Linked DNA regions of Drosophila melanogaster. The protein of the gene in region 1 interacts with the protein of each later gene in a pairwise test. Each region holds a gene or a part of one and is shown on either strand. Other genes may lie near its edges.

Evidence for each region. The genes of interacting proteins can lie anywhere in the genome.
Region 2: the proteins of euc (region 1) and mtgo interact in a two-hybrid assay, tested with the Drosophila melanogaster proteins (one large-scale study listed by BioGRID).

Annotation. Positions count from the first base shown.
Region 1 is NT_033777.3:18,977,641-18,980,733, forward strand, and holds euc (eucalyptus), read right to left. Parts: upstream 1,170-3,093; 5' UTR 1,134-1,169; coding exon 1,004-1,133; intron 944-1,003; coding exon 735-943; 3' UTR 633-734; downstream 1-632. Other genes in the region: Smu1 spliceosomal factor, read right to left, coding at 1,423-1,521, 1,584-2,662, 2,730-2,988, 3,045-3,093.
Region 2 is NT_033779.5:16,543,356-16,547,114, reverse strand, and holds the start of mtgo (miles to go), read right to left. Parts: upstream 2,100-3,759; 5' UTR 1,677-2,099; intron 1-1,676.

The sequences.
Region 1 (3,093 bases):
AATAAAAACTCTAAATTTGTGTTCTAGCAATAAAAATTAAACATAAATTTAAAGAAAAATAGTACGAAAACGTAAAGCTAATAAAAAGTTTGAAAAATAATGTCCCCAGCAAAAAAACCTATCCCAAAACCAAAAAAGAAAATGTTCTAAACTAAAATGTTTACTAAAGTAACACAAAGTTAAACTAAAACACCCCAAAAAGCAAATGTTAAAATTACAATTAAACCTATAAATAAGACACTCAAAGAAAGGAGTCAAACACATTTGAATTGAGAGACGTTTTTCAAATTTCAAAAACCCGATACAGAAATCAGAAAACCGAATCTCGGGCGCACTTATTGGCAGAGAACATGGCGCCAGTTGCCAAAAAGAGAGATAACCGAATAACAAATAAAATAGTTAAATGATAAATCGCAGAACAAAAATTTCAAATTAAAAGGAAACACCTACAAAAACAATTCCATGTTAACATTAAATATAAATAAAGGTAATTAAATAAATGAATACTAAAACCAATTAAATAAGTCACGATTTGATTACATTTTTTGGTGGGATAATTGTTTATTTTTTAATTGTTGTAACTCCTACTAATTTCTTTCTTGACTTCCCTTAGAATTAAATAGAAATATTTTAATTTGTTATAATTTATTATTGGGGTGAAGTGAATAAACAATAAACGTTAAATTGTCGCATATAATAAACGAAATGCATGCATAATTACTTTTGACACCGAGCTAGTTTTGAGAATTTATGCGAAACTTCTCCAGCATTTTGTTGATAGCCTCCTCATCGCCATCGATCTTAGCCTTCTCCTGCTGCAACACCTCCTGGAAAGTCTTCTGCTTAGTGCCCACCAAGTAGAAGTCCTCATCGGAAATGGTGACCTGTGCATCGACACTGGTGGCACTCCCCTCGTAGATGTCCAACGCTTTGAAATCAAAGACTACGATGAGACGGTCAACGGTGGGCTGACCCACAACCAGGCATCCTCTTTCCCACTCACCCATGCTCTTGATGAGATTACCATCCGCATCGGTGAAGTTGAACTGAAACGTGTTGACGACGGTGCGCCGGGCAGGATCCGATTCCTTCAACTTGTTGCGTATCTTCTCGATGATCTCGTCGCTCTTCATGTTGCAAGTGAACCGGCTGAGTGTCGCTGCTCGACTAATTTAGGTGCTGGATTGAGGCAATTGAGGGAAACTCTGTGGATTAGCGCTCTGAGAGATTGGCGCTTTGCATAATGCTTAATTAAAGTCAATTTGTTTCATATAGGCAAGATTGAAGATATTGATGTGAGGAATGGCTGAGGGCATGAGAAAAAAACTGCAAGCGCTTTGGGGTCAGTAGGTATATTTCGGCAGCTCAAATAAGACCACCAACTAAAACTAACTAGGTGTGAAAGTCAATTGCTTATATGGTCTAAGGCTTCCAAAGCTTCAGCAGGCCGTCCTCACTGTAGCTGGCCAGTAGATTTTGATGCGGATGATGTGTCAGGCCAATGACGTCCTTTTCATGAACCTATGGAATAAATATCACGTTTAAAGTCAGTTTGAAAACAAATAGTTTAAAGAGCAGCTTACGTTCAAAGTACGTTCAAGTTTACCGGAGGAGACGGAGAAACAGTAAAGCACCTGATCCTCTCCAGCGCAGTATATGAACTCTCCTCGCGGCGAAAGAGTGGCTGAGATAAAGGCACCGCCCTCGCGCTTACCCGACGAGAAGGATCGCACAATCTGGCCCTGCATGTTCATAATGACAACCGTATTGGATCTGTTGCAGACAATGAAGTGTTCGGGATTCTTGGGCAGAATGAGGACTGTGTTTACGGCCAACTCGTTGCCAAGGGGCTTGTACGTGGCCACGCACTCGGTCGTTTTAAGGGACCAAACCTTTACTGTGCCGTCGGAAGATGCGCTGAGCACGCTGTGTCCGTCAGGCGTAAAGGTGGCTTCGTTCACAAAGGAGGAATGCCCCTTGAACTCCTTCAGCATCTTTCCCGACTTCAGCCCGTGCAGTCTCACCGTGTAGTCGAAGGATGCGCTGAGTACCTGGCTGTTATCTCGCGAGAACTGCAGACAGGTTATTCCCTTGGTGTGGGCTTTCTCGAATTTACGCAAACACTGACCGGTGATGATGCGCCACACCTTGATTTGGCCATCCTGTGCGCCCGATGCCACCATCTCGGAATCTCGTGAGAAGTTCAACGCCAGCACCGCCTGTTCCATCATCATGAACTGGTCCTGCGCCTGGTACTTCAGATCCTTTCTCACCTTGCCGGTGGTAAAGTTCCACACCTCAAGGAAACCGTCCACACTGCCCGTTATCAGATACTGACCATCCGGCGAGAACTGAGCGCACTCAACGTGCGACTTTTGGCCAAATTTGATTTGTCGGAACAGCTGGGTGGGATACATTTCTTCTTCCTGGTCCTTCATCGCCGCCTTGCCGCGGAACAAATCAATGGTGGTGCCGGGCGGAAGGAGTCCCTGGTGCTGTTGCCATTTAAGAGCCTGTCCCAGGAGTGCCAAGAGCCTGGAGGAGGGCACCACATGCACCTCGCCACTTAGCTCTTGGGCAATGACCGTGCGCCGCTTTTCCTTGCTACTTCCCTCTGCATAGGCTTCCCTGGGATCGAAGTAAGCGCGCTGCAGCATGTTTTCTACAGACAAATATACCAATTAGGAATCACGAACTCTAGTGAAACCTTAGAATGGCTTATATTTTACCCAAATGGATGTATCGTTCGGGCTCCTGCTGCTTCAACATGGTCATGGGATCCGTCTGGCGGAGCAGAGATCTTGCTGCGCCCAGTTCTCTGAGCTCGATCAGCTCCAAGACTATTTGCTCGTATAGATTGAGCAGCTTCTTATCCGGTAATTTGAGAGACTGGGTCACTTTTAGCACGGTGTCCCAGTGCCCGTTGGAGATATCCTGCACAAAGCCATCCACGCTGTCCACCGTATTCAGGGAGACACCCGTTTCCTCCTGAAAGTTTAAGATCATTGAAAGACAAACTCTCTCCGCGGTGTGTAAGTACTAACCTGTAACGTTTGCAGGGTCTTCATAAGGTTGGACTCCTTCAGATACTGC
Region 2 (3,759 bases), on another chromosome or scaffold:
TTGTATACCGCATTGAAACTGTGTATCTAAAGCTTTTAACTATTTAATGCCCAAAATTGCCTAATAGCGGTTCAGTTTAAAATAAAAAAAAATTTAATTACCCGTTATTATCACAAAATATATTCCTCACTAACTAAAATCCTTTTATCTTTAACCCCACACCCATTGTCATTCCATTTGGTTGGAATGTAACGCCTGCCCTTAATTCAATTAACTTTAATGAACCAAATTATAATTGCAAATAAATTATCTTATTAAAGACGCAGAAAGTTCGCACTCTTGCCTTTTAGTAGCACTAAAACTCTGAAAACGGCGTCAAGGCCAATTAGAAAACTTTGTCCAAACATCTCACTACCAAGAAGGACGAAACTGAAACTTATCTTTTGGATCAGCAAGAGCCCATTTTCACCCAAAAAAACCCCGTGTGTCTGGGCGACAATCTAGCATATGCCAAAGTAAAAAGCTCACCAAAGTCAAACTCGATTAAAAATGCATAAATGCAATTAAACGCAAATGGAAATCGAACCAAACTCGCAAAAGCTTCAAGCGAAAACGCCTCGAGGTGGAAAAGCCAAAGAGATACACTTTCCAAGAATTCCACTTTTTTCACAGACATTTGTTTTTAAGCCTAGAAGTTTAAAAGTATTAATGGATTTGCAACACATACAACATTAAATACAAGTGATTATATAATAATTTTATAATTATATAATTAAATTTTTTATTTAAATTAATTTTTACTCAGAAACATTTGATAGTACGGTATATACCCATAATTTTATTCAGTGTATGAAAGCAAAAAATGTAAAAGATATATGTAAAGAGGCAGTGGGCGGTGGGAGGAGGCCAGATATCCAAAAGACGCGACAAGTGTCGGCCGAGCTTTGTTTGGCGCAAAGAGAGCAGCGCACTTCGAAGAGCAAAAAGCGCGAAGCCAAAAATCCAAAGACGACCATAGATAGTAAATTGCAAAGTTTATGCCGCCAAGTTCATGAAATTGTAATAGCTTCATACCACGGTTATGCTTCACCAAAGTGGTCATACAATTAAAAAAATTACGTACACCTAACTTTAATCCATTAAACTCGTACATTTATAATTATAATTTCTGATTTGGCGGAATTAATGAACTAAGTACATCGTGCATTCATTTTGCTATTGGGTCCACGCATGAGCTTTGTAACAGTAAAAGAAGCCCTGACCATGCAGTTGCGTCAATGGGTGCGAGGGAGAAGGGTGAGTGTGGGAGCAGGAGGTGGGCTTGGGTATTAGAGAGAGAGAGAGTGGGAGAGCGCGAGAGGCACTGGTTGAGTTGGTTTTGCTGACTGCACTTGTTTTGCCATCGTAGTTATTGTTTTTGTTGCTTGCAACGTTTTGCTGCCACTTGGCCGCAAAGGCAACAAAAACAAACACACACTAATACACGTGCGCGTTATTGCCAATTCACCCACATACACACAAACAACAGTTAGCCGCCGCTTGTGTGTGTGTGTACGCTAACATATTGAACGCATTTTTTCATATTTCTCAATGGAAAAGCCAACTCTAAACACCGTTAATATCATCCATATTAGTTAGTTGTCATTTGTGAGAGAAGAAAATGTGAAAAACATGTAAATTGCTGGGCAAAATAATGCAACATATGCTAGCACCACACTCTGATATTATCAACTTACTTTGCAAGTATTTGCCTTTGAATTTGGATTTGATTTTGCTTTTGTTTTCTATTTATTTATTTGTTGCTTTTTGGTTTTATTTCTTGCTGCACTCACTAACACAGAAACACACACGTACGCGCTAAACACGAAAAGCAGCCAATATATTTTATTCGTTTTGATTTTCACTGCTTGGAAATTTTCGCATTTCCATTTTCGAAATGCGTAACAACAAGTATTCTGTGGTTGAACAAACAACGATTTACGCGAATATAATAAAATAACGATAAACGGTTATTACGATGGTTTCCGCTGGCCAAAAACCTGCGACGAAATAGTCAACTGAGGGGAAAACAAGTAACAATTGTACCTGCCGAATTTGTTTTTAAACGCTTGCCAGCTTTTCTGATTTTCCGATGCGAACGCGCGCGCTGCGAAAAACATATTCGAAGCGAGTCGGAGAAGCCCCTCTATATAGATTCTCTCCGGCGCTTGAAAACAATTCGCATTGAGTGAGTTACGAAAAGCGGCTGATTCGGGCGCCAATTTGCTCCCACGAATTCTGCACGCTCTTACTCCAACGCATTGGAATGCTCCGCGCTCTTGAGCGCTTTCTGCACTGTTCGCTCGCTAACGGTAGTTCATGTGACGTTAACGTAAAGCTTGTTTCATTGCTTCATTATTGCAATGCAAAAATTTACATTATTTCTTCTAACTTACCCATTAACCGAATTAAATCTAATATCTAACATCAAATAAGTCGTTATCTAAATTATTGTTTTAATTTTTTATTTGACCTGGGCTTTTCTATCGAATTCTATGTAATTCAATGCAAAAATTGAAGTTGTTAGTATTTTTTCTTTGTGCATAAGAGTAAGCAATTGTTGCTTTCGTGCGCTCTCTCTTTTTCACTATCTTTTAACCCGTTCGTTTGCGTGGGTGCCAGGGAAATTTCCACCCACTGAAAGTCCTAAAATTGAGTTATTAAGTGAATCAAGGGCCAGCAAGGTTTTTGAGCATAGTTATTTGAATGTCCAGAAGATCAGCTTATTACCAAATGCATTTATTTGATTACTCTATCATGTGACACTACGTGTACAAAAATTATATGAATAAGATATTTACGTAATGAAGCCGAGTACGACTTAACAATATTTTAAACTTAAAGCTAAATATACATTTTATAATTTGAATAAGAATAGGATTGGGAAATTCATATTTAAGGACGGGCTTAATATATAATATAAAATATCCCTTTTGGCGTCGACTGCGCTGCATTTCCTCTGCCGTCGTTTTTGTTCCAAAAATCGCGTGGGAGAGTGAGTGAATAAAGGAAAGGTTGGAAGAGGGAGAGGGAGAGAGTGAGAGTGAGTAGGTGAGTCCAGATTGAGTTATTTTTCCAAGCCTGCAACCTGTATGAAATTATGGCTCAAGAGGCCAAAAGCTTTACGCGGTTGAAAATTGTTGCTTTTGCGACGCCGGCCGAAATGCAAACAGCTGTTTGCAGAATACAACAAATAATAAATAACTTGAACTTCAAAGCAAAACGGAAGGAAGATTTCAATATTTCATGGAAAAAAAAAGAAAGAAACTGGCTAACAACTTCATACATATATAAATTTTAGTATACGTAATATTATTTGAAATCTAGGCAATTTTGTATTATCAAAGGTCAATTGAACAATATACATAAGTGGGAGAATCGAAAAATGACTCGTAATATAAGTCTAGTCCTGCTAATCCGTTTTGCAATGGACACCACATTATTCAAGTCAATTTCTATAAAATATATAATAAAATGATAATTGAAATTCATTTTCTAAGCTACGTTATAGATTGTAAATCTTTTTGTATAATTTATTTTTCAAAATACCGTTAATCCTTTTAAATGAACCCGACTGGGAGGATACATTTCTGTTGAAATTCTTACGTATGTAAATACTTCAATGAAATTGTTAACAAAATCTCCGTATAACACTAGTACTTACAAAACTTTTACAAGAGCTTAAGGAAAGCGTTAGCATATAACCAAACCATTGCGGTAGGTGTCCACGCTAAAATGTAAATTAAATGTGAAAGCCGGAAATACAGTTTCAAGTCATTT